2 linked regions of the Stegostoma tigrinum genome follow. The main gene of each other region encodes a partner of the protein of the gene in region 2 in a complex. Links are inferred from orthologs where the notes say so. Each region holds a gene or a part of one and is shown on either strand. Other genes may lie near its edges.

Region 1 (10,908 bases), on a different chromosome or scaffold from region 2:
TAGACCATTCCCTGGCCTTTGCTTTCTCTGGATTGCTTTCATACCCAGTGAGCTATTAGATTCTGCTCAGTTCTTTCAATGCACTTCCCAATAGTCAGCTTCCAACCACAGCCGTTAGAACCCATCTCTCAGATATTCCTTAAATGGTGAGTGGCTAGTACAAAGGCAAATGTAGTCATTTTACACTTGTATCTATGGCTATCTCATTGTTTAGGTTGTGCGGAAGGATGTTGTGGAGAGTAAAGAAATGCCATTCACAAATAAGTAAGTTTGTACATAGAACAGCACAGCGCAGTTCAGGCCCTTTGGCCCACAATACTGTGCCGAACCATTACCCTAAACCTAAGGCCTATCTAACCTCCACCCCTACCTTACACTATCATCCATATGCCTATCTAATAGCCACTTAAGTGCTCCTATGAGGCCAACCCCTCTACCCTCTCCGGCAATGCATTCCACATCCCTACCACTCTCTGAGTAAAGAACCTACCTCTGACATGTCCCCTATATCTGCCTCCACTCACTTTAAAACTATGCCCCCTTGTAATAGGTAACTCCACCGTAGGAAAGAGTCTCTGGCTATCCACTCTATTGATACCTCTGATCATTTTGTACACCTCTATTAAAGCATCTCTCATCCTTCGTCTTCTAAAGAGAAAAGCTCTAGCTCTCTCAACCTTTCCTTGTAAGAAGTTGGGGGGAAGTGATAGAGAAATGCAGCACTCTATCAGCACCATATCCACAAACATTCATTGCCTTCATCACCCATGCTGTGTAGCAGCAGTGTGTACCGTGTACACATTACACTGCCAAAACTCATTTAGTTTCCTCCAACAGCACCTTCCAAACTCATGACCATTTCCATCTAGAAGGACAAGGGCAGCAGATACATCGGATTACCATCACCTGCAAGATCCCATCCAAACCACTCACTATCCTGACCTGGAACTGATGGAGTTGTACAGTGCGTTGGTTAGCCACAACTGGACTACTTATCACATTGCTTTTTGTGAGATTGGGATCTTGCATTTCATGTAAATTAGTTGCTGCATTTCCTATGTTACAAAAATAAATACACTTCTGAAGCATTCTGAAAATCCGAGTGAGTGTTGCGTCCTTGTTCAATAAAGAGTGTCAGTCAGCTTAACTTAATTGGTGCCATTGGTTTCTCTCTTGCTGGAGATGATTATTGCCTGATAACTTGTGTGCCACAAATGTCACCTTTTTTTTTCATTCATGGGATGTGGGCATTTCTGGCTGGGCCAGCATTTACTGCTTATCCAGAGTCACCCTTCAGAAGGTGCCTTCTTGAATCACGGCAGTCTATGTCCCTTAGGTAGACACAGAATGCCCTTCAGGAGGGAGTTCCAGGATTTTGACCCAATGAGACTGAAGGAACGGTGATATATTTCCACGTCAGGATGGTGAGTGGTTTGGATGGGATCTTGCAGGTGATGGTAATCAATGTATCTGCTGCCCTTGTCCTTCTAGATGGAAATGGTCATGAGTTTGGAAGGTGCTGTTGGAGGAAACTAAATGAGTTTTGGCAGTGTAATGTGTACACGGTACACATGCTGCTACACAGCATGGGTGATGAAGGCAATGAATGTTTGTGGATATGGTGCTGATCAAGTGACTACTGTATCTTGGATGGTGTCAAGCTTCTTGAGTGTTGTCAGCTGCACTCATCTAGGTAGTTGGGGAGTATTCTATCACATTCTTGACTAGTGCCTTGAAGATGGAAAGTGAGGAGGTGAGTTACTTGCTTCAGTGTTCCTAGTCTCTGACCTATTCTTGTAAACACTGAGTTATATGGTGAGTCCTGTTGAGTTTCTGGACAATGGTAAACCCCCCCCCCCCCCCCCCCGCCCAAGATACTGACTGCGGGAAATTCAGTGATGGTAACCCATTCAATATTATGGTTATAGGGTGATGGTTAGAATCTCTGTTGTTGGAAATGGTCAATGCCTGGCATTTGTGAGGTGTGAACATTACTTGCCTTTCTCAGCCCAAGCTTGGATATTATCCAGGCCCTTCTACATTAGGACATGGACTGCTTCAGTAACTGAGCCTGGGTTCAAGTCCCACCTGCTCCTGGAATGAGTAGTAACATCTCTGAATGGATTGTTTTATTTATTTTTCCTAAACTATCATGCACTGTACAAAGGAACTGTGAACAGATGCACTTCATCAAACACTTAAGTGGGTGAACAGAATTGTTGTGACTTAGGATACAGGTTAGTTATTAGGATACATTAAAGTGCCCTGAGGATTTCCTGCAGTCATATCCTCGTACATGAAGGATGGGTCAGCAAGTTTGCAGACGACACAAAGGTCGGAGGTGTCGTTGACAGTGTAGAGGGCTGTTGTAGGCTGCAGCGGGACATTGACAGGATGCAGAGATGGGCTGAGAGGTGGCAGAAGGAGTTCAACCTGGATAAATGCGAGGTGATGCATTTTGGAAGGTCGAATTTGAAAGCTGAGTACAGGATTAAGGATAGGATTCTTGGCAGTGTGGAGGAACAGCGGGATCTTGGTGTGCAGATACATAGATCCCTTAAAATGGCCACCCAAGTGGACAGGGTTGTTAAGAAAGCATATGGTGTTTTGGCTTTCATTAACAGGGGGATTGAGTTTAAGAGTCGTGAGATCTTGTTGCAGCTCTATAAAACTTTGGTTAGACCGCACTTGGAATACTGCGTCCAGTTCTGGGCGCCCTATTATAGGAAAGATGTGGATGCTTTGGAGAGGGTTCAGAGGAGGTTTACCAGGATGCTGCCTGGACTGGAGGGCTTATCTTATGAAGAGAGGTTGACTGAGCTCGGTCTCTTTTCATTGGAGAAAAAGAGGAGGAGAGGGGACCTAATTGAGGTATACAAGATAATGAGAGGCATAGATAGAGTTGATAGCCAGAGACTATTTCCCAGGGCAGAAATGGCTAGCACGAGGGGTCATAGTTTTAAGCTGGTTGGTGGAAAGTATAGAGGGGATGTCAGAGGCAGGTTCTTTACGCAGAGAGTTGTGAGAGCATGGAATGCGTTGCCAGCAGCAGTTGTGGAAGCAAGGTCATTGGGGTCATTTAAGAGACTGCTGGACATGTATATGGTCACAGAAATTTGAGGGTGCATACATGAGGATCAATGGTCGGCACAACATTGTGGGCTGAAGGGCCTGTTCTGTGCTGTACTGTTCTATGTTCTATGTTCTATGTTCAGTCTTTTATCTTTGTGCTCACCAATCAGCGGGTACTTTTTACCCCCAATTCCCATTGACTTCAATTTTACTAGGGATATATGGTGCCGTAGTTTGGTCAAATGTGGCCTGGATTTCAAGGGTAGTCACTGACATCTCACTTCTGGAATTCAGCATTTTTTGTCCAGACTGAAATGAGGTCAAGAGCTGAGAGGCCCTTATAAAACTCAAATTGAGCATCAGTGAGCAGGCTATTGCTAAGCTTCAATTAGTAATACGGTCAGTAACATTTTCTTTCAATTTTCTCAGATCAAGATAGACTGATGGTGTGGTAAGTGGCCATTTTGGATTTGTTCTGCTTTATGCAGACAGGACAGCTGTATACACTGCCAGATAGTTGCCAGTACTGTAACCGTACTACATAGCTTGGCTCCAGATACAGCTCGTTTTGCTGGAATGTTGCCAGGGTCCACAGCCTTTGCTGTATCCAGGGTTCATAGCCATCCTTTGATATGACATGTGGTGAATCAAATTCCCAAAAGACTGGAATATGTGATACTGGGGTCTTACAGAGGAGACTGACATGAATCATCCACTTGCGACATACTGACCGAAGATGATTCCAAAACCTTTCACTTCTCTTTTTGCCCTGACATGTTGGGATTCCCTGTCATTGAAGATAGAGATGGTGGTAGGACGTCATCCATGAGCTAGTTATATAATTGTCAAACACTGTATGACCAGGTGTGGCAGAATTGCAGATCTTAGATCTGACCTGTGGACTCTGGTAGCCCTTAGCTCTGACAAATGTTATGCTGATGTTTAGCGTTTAGGTAGCTTCATGTTGTAGTTTCACCATTTTTAGGTATGCCTCGTGGTACTCTGGCATGTCCTCCTGCACTCTTTGTTGGAAGCAGAGTTGGTACCCCTACTTGATGGTTATGGTAGAGTACAGAATATGTCAAGCAATGAGGTCAGATTGCAGTTGACTGCAATTCTGCTGCTGATGTCCCACCTCACCGATGCCCAGTTGCCTCAAGTAGCTTGAAATCTGCCTCATTTAACAGAGCGGTAGCACCACACACACACAATGAAGAAGGAAAGTATAGTAAGACTTATGAATGATACATAATGGTCTGACTTACAGAGGAACATAAGAAATAAGAGCAGGAGTAGGACACCTGGCCCATCAAGCCTGGTCCACTATTCAATAAGATCACGGCTGATCTTTTCGTGCACTCGGCTCCACTTACCCAAACACTGACCATAATCCTTAATTCCTTTACGGTTCAAAAATGCACCTATCTTTGCTGTAAAAAAACATTCAATGAGGTAGGCTCAACTGCTTCACTAAGCATGGAATTCCACAGATTCACAACCCTTTGGGTGGAGCAGTTCTTCCTCAACTCAACTGCTCCCCTTTATTTTGAAGGTATTCCCCACAGTTCTAGTTTCATTCACTAGTGGAAACAATCTCCCTGCTTCTCTATCAGGTATTGTCTTATAATTTTATGGGTTTTTATAATATTCCCCCTCATTCCTTTAAATTCCATAAAGTATAGTCCAAGTCTGCTCAATCTCTACTCATGAGCCAACACTCTCAATTCAAGAATCAATCTAGTGAGCCTCCTGGGCACCTCCCCCAGTGCCAATACATCCTTTCTCAAGTAAGGAGACCAAACTGTACACTACTCCAGGAAGGGCCTCACAGGCACCCTATGGAGCTGCAGCGAAACCTCCCTGTTTTTAAACTCCATCCTTCAAGCAATTAAGTCTTTTGTATACCTCAAAGCAGAGCTCCAGTCATAGTGTCTCAGAAATGTACAGCATGGAAACAGACCCTTTGTTGCAACCATCTATGCCAACCAAATATCCTAAATTAATCTAGGCCTGTTTGCCAGCTTTTTGCCCATATCCCTCTAAACTCTTCCTACTCATTTACCCATCCAGATGCCTTTTAAATGTTGTAATTGTACCATCCTCCACCACTTCCTCTGGCAGCTTATTCCATACACACATCCCCTCTGCAAGAAAAAGTTGCCCCTTAGGTCCCTTTTTAAATCTTTCCCCTCTCAACTTAAACCTACACCCTCCAGTTGTGGACTTGGCCACCCTGGGAAAAAGACCTTGGTGTCACCCTATCCATGTCCCTTATGATTTTAAATCTCTATAAGGTCACCCCCTCAGTCTCAGCCCTGCCAGGGGAAAAACAGCCCCAGCCTATTCAAACTCTCCCATTTTTTTTTTCTGATGAAGGGTTCAGGCCCGAAACGTCAGCTTTTGTGCTCCTAACATGCTGCTTGGCCTGCTGTGTTCATCCAGCTCCACACTTTGTTATCTTCCTGATAGCTCAAACGTTAGCAACATCCTTGTAAATCTTTCAAATCAGAGTGATATATTCATTTTCAAGTACTTTGTAAACTAGTTTTATTTCCGGGGCACCAGGTAAGTGACTCTCTTGCTGGAGGTGTGGTCAACAGGGATCAGATGGGCTGAAGGTCCTCCTCCTGTAGTGGGTGGGATTGGCTGGGGTGATTGACAGGCGGACCGGCCCCGCCCCGCGTGATGTAATCAGTCACATGAGCGTCCGGACTTTGACGAGCTGTCGGACTGAGAGACACCGAGCGAACACAACACGACCCAGCACCGACCTTCCTTCCCCCAACCCACCGGACACAAACACATCTTCCGTCTCTTACCGACTGTCACCATGAGTCGCGCCGTCGTCTACCGTCTGTTCGCTCCGCTGCTGCTGCTGGGTAAGGAAAAGGGCCCTGCGGCTGCCGCTGGGGCCTCGGCCTTTCGGTCGCTCTTGAAGCCGGCTGACATTGTCAGCGGCCCTGGGTTGATTCTTGTTTTTGGTTTTTATTTTGGCGGTGGGGAGACTGCTGAGTGAGGGAGGGCGAGGAGGAAGCGGACCGCGGTCTGACGGTTACCCGGAGGGTGACTGTGGGGGTTGGGGAAGGTGGAGGTTGGAGGTGTTTCACGTGATCGGCTGTCACGTGAGGCCTGGAATGATCGAGAACCCGGAGCAGGGAGAGATTGGGGGTGGGGGGTGCGCGCGATCCTGCACCCCGGGTTTTGCGGGGAGGGGGTGGGGGCGGTGCGCGATCCTGCACCCCGGGTTTTGCGGGGAGGGGGTGGGGGCGGTGCGCGATCTTGCACCCCGGGTTTTGCGGGGAGGGGGTGGGGGCGGTGCGCGATCTTGCACCCCGGGTTTTGCGCGTTCACCCCGGGTTGTGTGGGAGTGGAGAGGAGGGAGTGTGATTCCTCACCTCAGGTTGGGGGAGAGGGAGGAAGGGAAAAGAGGAGATGATCCCTCACCCCGGATTGGGGGCAGGGAAGGAAGAGTGGGTGTGATCCTTTAGATGTCCCGAATCTGGCATAACATATCCCAGGGTTGGGGGCCCCATCCAGCTTTCTGGTTGGCCACATTTACCATTACGGTTCAATTATTTGATTAATTTACTTCACTGAGTCTTGTCCTTTCTTCCACTTTGCACTGTACTGTATTCCATAGTTGTTCTTGTGCTTTTAACACAAATTTAACAAATTAATTCAACTTTTTAGCCTTGTTATGTGATTCATTTCTAATCTTTTGCCTTTCTGACCTCAGTTTTCTAGTTTACTCCAAGGTGAGAACATTCAAAAAAGTGTTTCACTCAAGTTATCATTTTTAAAAACTGAGTATTAACTATTAATAGACCTTGATGCTGTTAAGTGTACAATTGGTAGCTGGATGTCAGGCACATGTGGATTCTGCAGACACTGTGGCAGAATTTCTCAATAAGTAGCATGGTTATTTCACAAGCACAGAGGTGTTGTCAGTAGAATGGCCATAAAGTGCAGCATAAGAGTTTACGAGAGACTGTCTGAAAATCCCAATACGCCGCATCCACTGGTTATATTCTTAAACTCCAGTAGGTTAGTCAAACATGTTTTCCTTATTATAACTTTATGTTGACTTTGTCTTGTTATTGTACCATTTTGTAATAGACTATAGCATTTTAACAACTACTAATGCCACACCAATCTGTTGTAACTTCCTGTTTTCTCCCCTTTTGTAAAAAAATTGCTTTAGCATTTGCCATCCTCTAATCTGCTGACACTGTTCCAGGCTCAAAAAATATTTGGAAGATGGCATTCACTATTTCCATGGCCATTTCCTTTAGCACTGTGGGGCATAGATTATCAGATAAATCCTGGACACTTGTCATTTTTTCGATCCATTAATTTGTTGAGTAGTTTTTTTAATCTAATAATTTTAATTCCCTCTCATTAGACCCTTAGTTTCCACAGCATTTCTGGCTGCTTATTTGTTGTCATCTTTGAAGACAGAGCTAAAGTACTGGTTTAATTACTTTGCCATTTACTTGTTCGCCATTATCAGTTTTCTCATTTCAGACTGCGGGACCTGCATTTACTTTCACTAATATCTTTCGCCTTACAAGCATTTAGAATCTTTTACCAGTTGGTTTTATGTTTCTTGTATGTTTACTCTCATTCTAATTTTCCCTCTTAAACAATCTCTTGGTCTTCCTTTGCTGAATTCTAAACTGCTCCTTCAGGCTTGCTACTTTTCTCGTAACTGTACCTGATTCCTCTTTGAATTCAATAATATCTTAATTTCTTCTGTTAGCCATGGTCACTTCTTTTCTTAACCCTTTCTAAAGTAAAAGGACATAATTATTTCCTGAAACCATAACTATGTCCTCTTAGTTTGGGGTCAGGATTCAAAACATCAACTTTCCTGCTCCTCTGATGCTGTCTGGCCTGCTGTGTTCCTCCAGATCCACACTCTGTTATCTCTGACTCCAGCATTGGCAGTTCTTACTATCCTGTTATTCCCCCATTATGCCTTTTATGTTGTCCAATTTATTGTAGCCAATTCACCCGTCATGTATCATAAATTACTTTTCCTGGGATTTAAGACGCTAATTTCAGATTCATTTACTTCACTTTTCATCCCAGTGAAGAATTCTTTTATGCTTTGGTCTCACTTCCCTTAATCCTATACGGACCCTTTCCCAATGAACAGGACTAAATCTAGGATAGCCTGTCGCTGCTTTGTTTTGAATACTACACTCAAAATCTTGTAAAGATTACAGTAATTGATCCAACGTAGTATTATTAGTAATGTGGTTTGACCAGTCCATATGTAGATTAGAGTTCCTCATGATCACTGTTATCACATGCCTTTGTAATTTCCTGTTCAGTGCCATTCCCTACTTTACTTTTGGGGGGGCATGTAGACAGTTCCTACTAATGTTTACTGCCCTTTTGTTACTTTGCAGATTAATTCTGTGTCTAGAGTTTGAATTAATGTATTCTCACTTGTACTGATTTCATCCATTTCTAACTATGCCATCCCACCCCTCATTCCTTTAGTTCACTTATTACCTTTATATTTGCTTTTTTAACATACTTATGCATTATTTTTGTGCTACGTCCCTATTTGTTACAAGCACTTCTTTCCCATTGCCTTCCACTTTTGCTTTCGATACTTATGTATTTCATTTACGTTCCCCTCTTGTGTCTCTTTTATTTCCAGCCACTCTAGCTTAAAGCTCTCTCCGTAGTACCAGAAAATGCTACTGCAAGGATACTGATACTGATCCTGCAGGGATGCAACCCATCCAGCTCGCAAATGTGCCAACTTCCCAAATTAGTCCCAATGCCACGGGAATCTAAATCACTCCCCCCTCTGCAATCTTTTCAGTTATGCATTTGTCCGCTCTGTTCTGGCATTCTTGATCTTGCTAGCATGTGGCATTCTGGGTAGTCCTAGGATGATTATCTTTGGAGTCTTGCCATTTCACTTAATTCCCAGTTTGCTATTCTCTGCTTTCAGGGCTTCATCCTTTTTACCTATGTTGTTACTCAAATGGACCAGGAATTCTGGCAGTTGATGCTGTCTCTTCAGAATATCTTGCAACTGTTCACTGACATTTTTAAGCATCTTATCTGTTCCCCTGGTAATAGTGATAGGAGATTCTATTATTTTAACACCTTCTTCTCGGAGTGAGATGACCCAGAGGACTTCTGCATAACCTGTCTAGTGCTTTTACACTCTGGTCACCTGTTCCCTCTCTTCGTACTCTTTAACTACGATGTGAGCATCTTGCTATCCATTAAGATCTCAGGCTTGTGGATGCTCTGTCACTGCTGCAGGTTGAAAACGCATATTTCAAGTGGCTTGCGTCTGAAGTCACTTCTCGTGGTGGTGTACTTGGTCACCATGAACACTAATGCCCTTGACTTTCCATGTGGTTTAGGAGGAACATTCAACATGGCTGACCTGCTTTGCCTTAAGTTGTTCCCTTCATGTTTTCTTCTTCACGGTTGAAGAATATTAGGTGGATTAGGGGTCTTGCTTTATCATTTGCCTTTTTAAGCACTGATTAATCTGAATGGAATACCAATTTGCACTTTAAAGACCGGAAAGTATAATTACCTAGTGCTACCAAGGTCGCTGCTCCTTTTGCACTAGCTCCAGTACTATCTGGATCAACTTGTGTTTATCCTGTGGTGTCACTTTGCATGTTTTCAGAAATCATCTGTCTTGTGCAGCTTCTCCAAGGCGTGACCAATAAGTGCCCTGTTTACTTGTGATGTCATGTTTTATTTTTCATTCAAGCACGACCGTCTCTCAGACTTTACACCAGCTCTCGGTTGAATCCCCCTCTCGTGCTGTTTTCAAGTTCTTTGGAATTTTCTCTGTTGTGATATTTGTTAATTGGGTGTTGACAGAAGTCAAAATTTTCTTGAGCTGCTAGTTTCAGGAGTGGAAAGGTATCCTGTTCTCCTTTAGAACTCGGAGAATGTTTTCTGATCTTTGTTAGTTGAATATATGCTTTAATTTTAGATGGTAGGAGGAAGCCATTTGGCAGTTAACTGACATCAAAACAAATTTAGTTGATGCCTTTAACGAAAAGAGGAAGACAGTAAAGTGAAGTTATTCCCCACTTGCGACAGCATATTCAACATGTCTCCCATCCTGTGGGCGTACTTGCAATATTTCGTGGAGTTATAGAGATGTATAGCATGAAAACAGACCTTTTGCTCCAACTCGTCTGTGCCGACTGGATGTCCTGTACCAATCTAGTCTCATTTGCCAGCATTTGGCCCGTATACATCTGAATCTTTCCTGTTTGTATACCCATTCAGATGCCTTTTAAATGTTGTAATCATATCAGCCTTTTCCACTTTCACTGGCAGCTCATTCCAGACATGCAGCACCCACTGCGTGAAAAAGTTGCCCCTTAGGTCCCTTTTTATATCTTTCTCCTCTCTCCTTAAACCTGTGCCCTCTAGTTTTAGATTCTGACCCTGGGAAAAGACCTTGCATATTTACCCTAACCATGTGTCTCATGATTTTATAAACCTGTTTAAGGTCTCCTGTCAGCCTGTGACATTCCAGGGACTATAACCCGAGTCTATTCACCCTCTGCCTGTAGTTCAAACCCTCTAAACCTTTTCTGAACCCTTTCAAGTTTAACAACATCAAATAAGTGGGAGACCAGAATTGCATGCAATGCGCCAAAAAGGGTCTAGGCCCGAAACGTCAGCTTTTGTGCTCCTGAGATGCTGCTTGGCCTGCTGTGTCCATCCAGCCTCACATTTTATTATCTTGGAATCTCCAGCATCTGCAGTTCCCATTATCTCTAACAAATGTCTTGCACAACCACAACTCCTGTACTCAATGCCCTGACCAAT
Region 2 (10,914 bases):
ATCTGAACATTTAAATGAATGAAATAAACTGCAGAACATTATGAAATGTGTGAATTAGTACATTATGGATGCAACAGTTAAGGGATTCTCTCAAATTCCTTGCAATAAACAAATACAGTACTCACCATAAAGGAAAGGGTGAGGTCTGGCATTCCAGTTAGCTTGATGCAAGCATCGATAACACCCTGAATTTCAGCAAAGACCGTTGATCCTGCCACAAACAAACTACCAAAGCTAAACCACCAAAAATATAAGAGTATTTCGTGCAAACTATTTACAAAGCAAAATTACTTAATGCTTGGCATACTAAAGACTTAAGTGTTGATAGAAAGTGTTTTTTCTTTAACTGAAATGGTTTTCTTGCTAATAGCTGTAGGATCTGATTGGCTGCAGTGGATACAACAGTTACAAAATAAACTTTTACCTGATTTGTCAATGATGGCATCAATTTCCTCTGTAACGTCAAAATAAGCTTCATTATTTGTATATTTGACTCCTGCTCTTCGCCATGGGATATTTGACAGTTGGCCTGTTGGAAGTTGATCTCCTACGTTACTGCTACCTAACAATTAAAAATATAAAAAAGTATAACTTCATCCATTCCTTGTAATAGTATATGCTAATACTGTACATAAGAAATTTCTACAAAGATGGATTTCTAAACAGTGGAAATCATTCAGAGTTGTTTTTGCGCAGTACTGCAACGTCTCCCAACTTGGAGATACTGAAACTTTTCCACATCGTAAGCATTTCAGTTCAGGAAACTGGATGAAGAGCAGGGAAATCATAGTTTAAGTAGTTTTTGACCACTTCAGTAATCTCAACTGTAAAGTCAACCTTCTGAAGGCTACAGTGCAGCCTCCTTCCTCTTTTTTTTCCTAGCTTTGGGCAAAATGATGTCCATGTCTTAGCAACAGTTTCACCTGGGAAGCGGAACTGATTTTAAACTGCCATGTCATTTTCATTTATACAGCTGGTTACAGAGATAAGTGGAAGAGTGATCTTATAGACTGGCTACAGCATATAAAAATGTGATAAGGGCTTTTGTCGCACTGTCTTAGCGTGCCTACCTCTGAACCAGGAGGTCTGGTTTCAAGTCCCACCTGCTTCAGAAGTGTGTAACAACATCTCTTGTTCAGATTGATCTGAATTAGGTTATGCTGGCTCTCTGAAGCAGCAATTCACCTGGTGCCACTTTACCTACTTTCTCTTTGCCACCCTGCACATTTTTCCATTCCGATCAAATCCCAGTTTCCTCTTGAAATCTTCTATTGAACACGCTTCCATAATACTCAGACATTACATTTCAAAGTCAACCACTCCCTACTATAAAAATGCTTTGTCATATGTTGCCACTGTTTTTTCACAAGTACTATAAATCCACACACACACACACACTTTTTCAATCTTTTCACTGATGGGAACAGACTTTCCCACCACATCTACTCTGTCCAGATGCCTCTTGACTTTGAATACCTGTCAACTTTTCCCTCAATCTTCTCTTTTCCAAATTAAACTCTCTCTCTCCAATATGTCCATAAAACTCAAGTTCCCTATTGCTGGAACCAATTTTGTGAATTTTTTCAGTACCATCTGTACATCCGTTCCAAAGTGAGGCAGCCAGAACTAAATCCAATACTCCAAATGAGGGCTGAACTCGAGCTTATGCAAGTTAAACACAACTTCCATGATTTTGTACTCACCGCCTCTACTGATAAATTCAGATGCCGTCTGCTTTATTAACTGCACTTTCAATTTGTGCTGCCGCTTTAATTTAATTCACAGAGATCAGTAAAGGTAAAGTCATGACAGGGCTGATCGCTGACGAAAGAGATTACTAGTGGTGAGATTAACCGGATGATCACCACACCTCAAGTGAGATTGAGAACGTGGGACCTTCATCAACTGGTGCAGTAAATGCTACTCGTGTTATTCTGCATTGTAAGCTATTTAAATAAGCTGACTGACCTCCATATTTCTGCAAATATACCCTGGCTGACCTGCTTCTGCATCCTCTTTAAAATTGTACTTTTTCTTTTACTGACCCATCCATGGTCTTTTGACAAATATGAATGACTTCTCACTTTACTACATTCAACTTCTTCAGCCATTTCTCCACCCATTTCATGTAACTTACGTCCATTTGAGGATTTGCATGACCCCCTCTCAGTTCATTAAAAGATTAATTTTTGTGTCTTTGTCACATTCTGAAATTGTGCACGGTATAGATATTCATATTCATCAAGAAGAACAGGAATCTTATCACCAATCCCTAGGGCACTCGTCACATGAGGAAGGGTCACTCGACCTGAAACGTTCTCTAAAGATGCCGCCAGGCCTGCTAAGCTTATCCAGCAATGTCTGTTTGGTTTCCATTAAACATTGCTGTTTCCTGTTATTCAGCTAATTTCGAAAATATATTGCCACTGTAGCAATTATTTCATGAGCTCTTAACTTTGCTCATGTTTGTGGCACAGCAATTTGACAAATGCTTTTGCACGTCCATGTTCAGTATATCAACAGTGTTACCTCAACTGAAGTTAATTAAGCACAATGTGTATCTTCAATCTGATGATGGTCCATGCATGTAGACCCATTGCTCAAATTTACAATCTTACAGTACAGGAGGAGATGGGTCAGGCAATGCCTCTTTGAAAGAGCGACGTGAATTAGTCCCATCCATCAGCTTTTTTCCAACAGCCTTATAACTTGGTCCTCACCAAATATGTCTTTTAAATGTACCTACAGAATCTGTTTCCATGACTGAGGTAAAATATTCCAAATCTCAACAACCCTGTATGGAAAAACAGAAGTGTCTTCACACCCCTTCAGTTGTTTTATAAATTATCTTACTTCTGTAACCTTAGCTTAAAGACCCTCATGCCAGAGAAGAGAGTTTATTCCTAGTATCAAAAAAAATCCTCATAATTCTGAACACCACTCTTTTGCTGAGGTAGAGGAGCCACTTCTTACCTGTAATAGTATTAACAACAGAGCGAAGAATTGTAGGAGGTTTAATTAGTTCTTTTAAGATATTGGATTCAGTAGCCAATGGAAAACCATTATCCAACATTTCTTCCAGAAGTTCATACACGATAACAACGTTATCCTTAATTGAAGCCTCAGAGCATTCTCCAAAATAGTCCTGAAGAACAATGTGATAATGCAATTCCTTAATTAAACTATTTGTGTCAGACTGAAGATTTTTAAAAATATACACTTAACGGCACATTTTACAGCTTTGGGACAACTCATTTTATAGCTAGTACTTCTAAAAAAATGCAAGCACTTTTGGGTCAAAAATCCAAGAATGCTACACATCGTAAATCATGTCTTAAGTGATAATGATATTGATCAAGAGTCAGGATGCCCCTTTCCTTGTGACAGTATCAAAGGATCTTATGTCCGCCTGAGAAGGTAGACAAGACCTCGATTTCCTTTCTCATCTGAGGCACCCTCTCTCCCACAATACGTACAGTACTCCCTGAATACACTTGGTATCTCAAGGAATCAAGGGGTTTGGGGAGTACGTAAAAACTGTTGAATTAACCCCAAGAGGTTACACCGAATGGTAGAACAGTTTCGAATGGCCACAGGATCTCTGTTGTTTTCTTGAATTGTACACTCAAGTCTCTGGAAGGGGACTTGAACCCAACCATCATCTAACTCCCACCCAGGCTCTAGCTAGGACACATTCAGTGTTAGGCGCAACATCGGTAAATTCCCCAAACGAGATTCTCCTGCAAAGAGATTCACTTCACATCGAAATAAACTGACAGAAGACGCCGAAGGTAGTTCCATTTACAGTGACGGACTTTTTGATTTCCCCCTTACGTGTGGCGTGTACAAACCTGCAAAGTTTCTGCCACTCGATGGAGAAACTCAATGACAAAGAGAGGTGGCACTTCGGACTGAATGACAGCAACGAAGAAGATCTTGTCTCTGTACGTGCTGACCAAGTAGTGATGGGGTGTGGGGATCACCGGAGGCACATTTTCCGCCTCCGCGGCTTTCTCCAGGGCCTCGAAGAAATAATCACAGACTGACCGGCTCACCACACTCTTCCAATGTTTCTCCAGAAAGATATCGCCAGTGTTGTTGATGAGAAACAGGCTATGGATCATTTTTTTCTTGTTTCGTCCCAGCGGTTTATTTGTGTCCTTTTAAACCGTGAAGCGGTGTTGCCCGGCCACACGAACAGCCTCACAGGCATCAAATCAATCCGTCAAAGAGCAGCCCCAGGAATATGGCGGCGGCGCCGCCGGAAGCAGCTCCTGGAAACAGAAAACGAGATTTTAAAGAAAATATAAAACATTCATGAATCACCGCACGAGTTCTGCACGAAAAAGGGGATTGAGAGGGGAAGTGGGTATATTTTGGTGCTAACCCAATTGGAAACAGGTTTGTTTTACTAATTCCATTGCATGTAAATGAAAGGGACAATCATGGGTCGCTTTCTCCCAAAATGTCACGTCCTGTGACTTAAAAACAACGCCTTTCATGTCTCTTGCTGGGTCTCCATGTACTTTTGGGTTTTCAAAATTATTACAGGCCAATTGATTGATTGTTGCGTCGTTTCCCTATTATGGTCCAAATCGACTTTGTGACTTCTTTTACCTATAGATTTCTTTTTTGTTTGCATCATTAATAAAATTGATAGCCATGTTGTTAACAGACCGATCATTTTATTTTTTACCCGCCCTCTCGCGTCTGCATCCAATACCTGAAAACTACCACCGAATAATTCTGAAAATTTGGCAAACCCAGGCTTCACGCGCTTCTATTCAGCTGGTCACTGCTTGCGACTTAGTGGGCGGGTCTGGACTGCGTAAAATGTTAAGCGACAAATATTTCACGTTATGAACTTGAATGGTCTGCTTTCCTAAAGTGCTCGGGCCCCGCTCCCACTGCTGACTGCTTGTACCGCCCTCTTGGGCTGCTGATGTGCTCTGAGATAATGGGAACTGCAGATGCTGGAGAATCCAAGATAATAAAGTGTGAAGCTGAATGAACACAGCAGGCCCAGCAGCATCCTAAAATGCTGCTGGGCCTGCTGTGTTCATCCAGCTTCACACTTTATTATCTTGCCAATGTGATCTGCCTACTCCGCATGCGCATTGCCACGCTAGCCCCGCCCTTGTCGTTTCTCCTTTGTACTGGACCCCTCCTGTCCACGTCCCGCCGCTCCACCCATTCACACTCCTCCCCACGCGCCGCCTCTCCGGCACCATCCCTCTCCTCATTTGCATACCGTCAGTCCTGCCCCGCCCCTCAACCGCAGGGCCCAACCCCGACGCGGCTACAGTTCTCCCCCGCCCCCTTCCTCTAACCGCGCATCTTCACTCTGTCTCTGACTTCCTCGCTTAAGTTCCACTGTGCGCAGGTCGTTCCCTTCCTCGCGGTACGCGCGTCTCCCCTCTCCGGTTCCTCCCTTGCAGCGCGCGGCGGCGTGAATTGGGAAGTAATGGCAACGGACGGACCTCAACCGGCGAAAAAGATCAAGCTGCAGCACAATTCCCTCAGGTAAAAAGGAACACCCAGTCATGAAAACAGAGTGCCTGATCTTTTGGTTTATATTTAAACGGTGATTGTTGATGGTTTGAAACCACACTGCCCCCAGCGCACGTTCAAAGATTTTCTTCATTCATTGTCAGGAAAAGTCGATCATGCCTTTCGTATAATAAGCAAGAAATATTTCAAATGAGTGTCTGCCACGCCGTGCATTTGCAGCAATTTTAAGACAGCAGGTTTGGCTTCAAAGTTGTGCTCTACTCCCACGGGCATATTCGACTTATAGACTCTTATTTTTGAAATATACGATTGGCTTTTGTGGTGGTTTAATTTGTTGCTGAGATTTTTTTGTTAGTTTTTCTTACTTGCTGTTGTGCCTTTTGTTGAAAATCTAACCACGCTGGTCAGACTCCTTAATGTTGGACTTTTAATTTGTCTTCCCTCTCTGTACTCAAGGTCACAAAACAGCCCAAACGACCTTTCACGTTGCAAAGGAAAAGCTTCAAGTAATGCCAAAGCCACTGCCTGTTTGAAAAGTCATTAAAAATTCCCCAAAATGTGGTTTCATTGGACCTTTCATGTTGTATCAAAATTGCAGCTCATGAAACTCGGAGACTAGTAATCAAAAACACAACCCAGCGCTCTTCCCACCCACACCCCCCCCCCCCCCCCCCAAAGTAATTGCGTCCTGGCTGGTACTAACTACCCCTGCACAAAATAGACTTGGACAGCAATCAAGTGCCTGCAGCTCTTCACTCTGTCTCTGACTGACTCGCCCACCCCCCGCTTAAGTTCCACTTTGCGCAGGTCGTTCCCTTCCTCGCGGTACGCGCGTCTCCCCTCTCCGGTTCCTCCCTTGCAGCGCGATTATCGCTGGTTCGATCTCAATGTCCGTGTACAGGTCCACAACAGTCAATTTTCATCCAGATTTGCTACATGCATCAGTAGGGTGTTCCTTCGATTTCGTGAAGATCACGAACGAATTTATTAAGCACGCTGCAGTTTGCCTACTTGTGATCTTTTTATTCCATTTGGTTTTTTGATTTCATTGTTAGTTTCCATTTAGAAAATATGCTTGTCTATTTCAGCTTCGCAGCCTTTAGTATCATAGAATACGAAGGAAAATTAGATTTTTATTTATGCTAATTAACATTTATCATTGTGCATTTCAAAAATTCATGGGTGGGACGAGTCTAGGGAATTAAGCAGCTCACAAGTTGGGTGTCATCATGAGCAGAGGTAACAAGTTGCCATAATGAAGCGATCTATAATCAATGGAAATTCTTAACCGTGACAACGTTTGTGTTGGTCCTTCGCTTTTTTTTTGTTCAATTTGCTCAGTTAACTAAAATTGACAAGTTTTTTTTAAATATCTGATTGGAAACCAATCCAAGATTTTAATCCAGGATTTTTCTGCATATTTTGTTTTTCTGTTTCCTTATTCTCTCCCCTACCTTTATTATTTCAGGGGAGTGCTGTCAAGGCCATCAATTAATTACCTGTGAGCTGAGACTTGCTTGGCTTGAAAAAGAGGCTACGAATCAGCTACTCTGCTGTGGGTCTGGAGTCAAATATAGGCCAGATCTGTTAAGGGCATTCAATTTCTACCCTACCTTTTACCATGTTGGCAAAACATTATTCTGGGTTAATTGTCCAGGGCAATAACAATATGCCACTCACATAGTAAGAACTGCTGCTCCTGGAGTCGGAGATAATAGTGTGGAGCTGGAGGAAGACAGCAGGCCAGGCAGCATCAGAGGAAGAGGAATGTTAACATTTTGGCTTGGGACCTGAAGAAGGGACCCGACCCAAAATGTCAGCTTTCCTGCTCCTCTGATGCTGCTTGGTCTGCTGTGCTTCTCCAGCTCCATACTGTGTTAACACTCTGCCACTCTGCCTTTTCATGCTAGCTCTTCTTGTGCCGAAGATATTGTGTAGATGTAGCAGCTAAGTTATGCAATCCTGTCATTTGACAATTTACTGAGTGTTCTGTTCCACTTGTTTACTCAAGATATAACTCTTAGATTAAAGCTGTGGAGGTTGACTTGTGAAACTCTACCTTTTCAGTCTAGTAGCAAGAGAGTTGGTAATATAGCTACAAGGTTTGAAATGATACAAAAAAAGTAAATATAGAGCGTAACTTCATGGCAGCTAAGAAAATGCAGTGAGGCGGGCAGTTTTAAATGGAAGGAAAATTTGGCATTTGTTTATGCAAAGAGTCTTGTCTTGCTGATGACATTGAAAGGCTTAAGACAGATATTTTGGTAATGTTTTCCTAAATGATTGAGTTACGCTGGGTCACGTTTGTATTTGTGCTGTGATTCCTGCTCGTTTAGCGGCCACAAAGGCTTAAAAGCCTCTGCTGAATGCTATAATTGTAGAAGGAAAATATAGAAAATGCTGTTTTGAAGAAGGGTCCTTCATGGACTCAAAACATTAACTCTGTGTCTGTGTCCACAGATGTCAAGCCAAAGCTCCAAATTGTACACAATGCAGCAATCCTTGATTTTTAAAATAGACCTTTTCCTATTTTGATCCCCAGTCAAAATACAGAAAATTAAACATTAGTTTATTTAAAATTAAACAATTTAGCATTTCTGAAGAAGAGCCTAGGCCTGAAACATCAGGCTGCCTGGCCTGCTGTCTTCATCCAGCTTTCAACCTTGTTATCCCAGATTCTCCAGCATCTGCAGTTTCTACTATCTCTGAGAAAATTAAGCAGACAGGTTCTTTACACTATAATGGAATTTAAACCCAAATCCAAATTTTTGTCTATGCCTATCGATTTCTGATATTCCCATTATGATATATATTGTAATGAGCTTGTTCTGTGGGAGTACAGTTGATCTGGTTTCAACTGCATACAGTCAGTGTGTGCTATAATCATTTTTTGCAGCATATTTACTGTTACATAATTATACTTCATAACTTGTTTAATGTCTCTGCCGTTTGCTATTCTGCGTTATTTCTCCTGTGTCAGTTTTAAGGGACCCATATTTACTTTGATTCTCTTATTGACGTAAATATGTAAGCTTTCTCATTGAACCTCATAATCTTTGGATTATTTCCTGAGCAATTTGACATAAGGAAAATCAAATTAGAGAGGAGAATACTTGGCTCAAAGTCTGGTGTGGGAATGGTGTGTTCTGGTTCATGCAGCTCTGGTACCAGAATGAGTGCATGTCGGATCTGTATTGATCAGATGATCTGTGCCTGAACAATGCTGGAGCTGGTATTCTTGCCAGCTGCATAACGAGGGAAGTAAAATGTTGTGATAGTCTTACCGGATTATAGGCTAACTCTCTCATGTGAGCGAAATGACTGATGATGGTTTAACCTAAGTGTCACCACACAGCAGGTGAGAGGAGAGGTTGAGAAGGAGAGTTTGTCATGGTACTTTGGCTGGGGATGGCAAGGGATCAAATTTGGGATGGTGATAAATTAAAGCATAGAGCAGAGGTCAAAGAAGAAGGTAGTACATGGGAAACAGACAGTTGAAGAGATGGCAATTATAAGGGTAACAAATAATTAAGATCAGACTTTACAACATTACTAAGGTACAACTAAAGACTCCATCTGAATTCGCTATTATCGCATTTGAAAGAAAACTGATGAATTCAAAGTGCAGCTACATATGAACAAGGATGATCTGGTAGTCTTTTGCCCAGTGACTGACTTAACCTGAGATATTTTGCAGCCCTGTGACTTGCAAGGTCTTGGATTAATCGTCAGGCATCTTACTACTTCACGGTTTATTTTTGTTTATCTTTGAATTTACATCACCTGTAATGTTTCTTTCCAAATCCCAGGTAGCAACATCTGAACAATAAGGTAAACTTACCTAGTCTTTTGTGAATGGCAGGACCCAGAATCCTCACTCCTTAAAACCTGCAGCAAGTTTTTAAAGTGAAAATCAATCCTATCCCTCTCCAGACTGAATTAGGACAAACGTTTCAAAGAAAGTTTCTTACCCCTTTAATCCAAATCATAATGTCACAATTTCAAAATCTATTTATCGCACAAGGACTGAAAAGAATGGACATGTTTATAAAAGGAGGAGAAAAGCATAACTTTGTTCAGGGACATTTCACATACATGAACCACTCATCTTTAGCCCCTGCCCTAGTGTGGTTCTGATCTCTAGCGCACAATGGTTCAGATACCCCCACTGATGTGGATCTGCCTATTATGCAACAATTTGGTAATATGTCACTGTTCCTTCACAATTGACGGGTCAAAAGCCTGGAATTCCCTCCCGAAGGCCATTGTGTATCTATCTACAGCATGTGGACTGTAGCACTTGAAGGCAGTTCACCGCCGCCTTCTCAAGCAGCCAGCGGTGGGCAAAAAAGCTGAAAACAACGTCCGAAGAGTAAATTTAAAGAAAAATTACAGTGACATTACTGCAGGATGACATGAATTGGGACTGAAGTCTTCTGTACGGATACAGATGGAGAGTTGGCTCTATTAGTTAGTGATGGGTTTGATATAGTGGAAAAAGATGACCTAAGTTCAGGAAACAAGGATGTAGAAACAGTTGGGATACAGGAGAGAAATGATAAAGGTAAGTCACTTGTGAGCTGTTGTTCAGGGCCTTTGAATAGATTCCTATATTTTGGGAGTGGAAAGTAAAGGAAGACTGACAGCAGATTCAAGGGTGAAATCATTTATTTTGCTGTTACATCTTTTGTTGTGCAACAGACTTTCTTGAGTGGGTCATTTTGGTTGAATGTTACTGGAACTAATTTGGTCTGCCACCAGCAAGTTGTCTGGCAGACTGTGAAACCTGTGACTTCGAGGCTGCCAGAATATTTTTCACAGAAATGCAAATTTTCACTTGTTTACTAATTTACAGATAATTGTCTACTCTCCAAACACAACTGATTGCCTGCAGACAAGGGGTTTCTCTGAGCCTTTGCTCCTAAATCTGCTTTCCCCAAGCCCAGGATTCATTAACTGAACTATAATGAATTTTGCCTTAATTTTCCTTTGGAATAGAACAGTCATTTGTCACCTGTACGTTTACATGAGCAATAAAGTGAAAAGTTTTATGAGCCGCCCCACCACAATGCCTATATCAATGACAGAAATGCACATAATCATTAAAAAAATGATGAACCAAACTGATTTTTAGGTGATAGTGGGTAAGACATTAATGGATGTACCTATTCTGCAGTTTTCAGAAATAGTGAGATGGGATCTTTTCTATCCATCCAAGCAGAAGGGGCCTTGGTTTAGTGGCTCATCAGAAAGGCAGCATCTCTTACAATGATCCTTCAGCACTGCGCTGGAGAATCTGCACTGATTTTTAAGCCAGGGATCTTGTGATTCAGAAGTGTGGACTGCCAACTGAGCTTTGACTGACAGCTGCAAGTGCACCAGTTAGTTTCCCTCTGAGTGAGA

What was found. Proteins that work in one complex are often made in the same cells at the same time.
Region 1: the proteins of AP-3 complex subunit mu-1 (region 2) and lamp1a are in contact, whole or in part, in a cryo-EM structure (PDB 9C5A), measured with the Homo sapiens proteins. The link is inferred for Stegostoma tigrinum from reciprocal best matches to the Homo sapiens genes AP3M1 and LAMP1. Residues at the interface, in NP_001307192.1 of Homo sapiens: Glu178, Tyr180, Phe181, Asp182, Gln381, Val389, Asn390, Arg391, Leu392, Phe402, Lys403, Gly404, Val405, Lys406; in NP_005552.3 of Homo sapiens: Ser410, His411, Gly413, Tyr414, Gln415, Thr416, Ile417.

What each region holds. Positions count from the first base shown.
Region 1 is NC_081365.1:77,079,929-77,090,836, forward strand, and holds the start of lamp1a (lysosome-associated membrane glycoprotein 1a), read left to right. Parts: upstream 1-5,749; 5' UTR 5,750-5,902; coding exon 5,903-5,951; intron 5,952-10,908. UniProt on the Homo sapiens protein: Lysosomal membrane glycoprotein which plays an important role in lysosome biogenesis, lysosomal pH regulation, autophagy and cholesterol homeostasis.
Region 2 is NC_081390.1:13,539,813-13,550,726, reverse strand, and holds the start of AP-3 complex subunit mu-1, read right to left. Parts: upstream 4,980-10,914; 5' UTR 4,724-4,979; intron 4,407-4,723; exon of another isoform or gene 4,388-4,406; intron 4,275-4,387; 5' UTR 4,125-4,274; coding exon 3,852-4,124; intron 3,146-3,851; coding exon 2,974-3,145; intron 563-2,973; coding exon 425-562; intron 212-424; coding exon 126-211; intron 1-125. Other genes in the region: adenosine kinase-like, read left to right, coding at 5,465-5,523. UniProt on the Homo sapiens protein: Part of the AP-3 complex, an adaptor-related complex which is not clathrin-associated. The complex is associated with the Golgi region as well as more peripheral structures.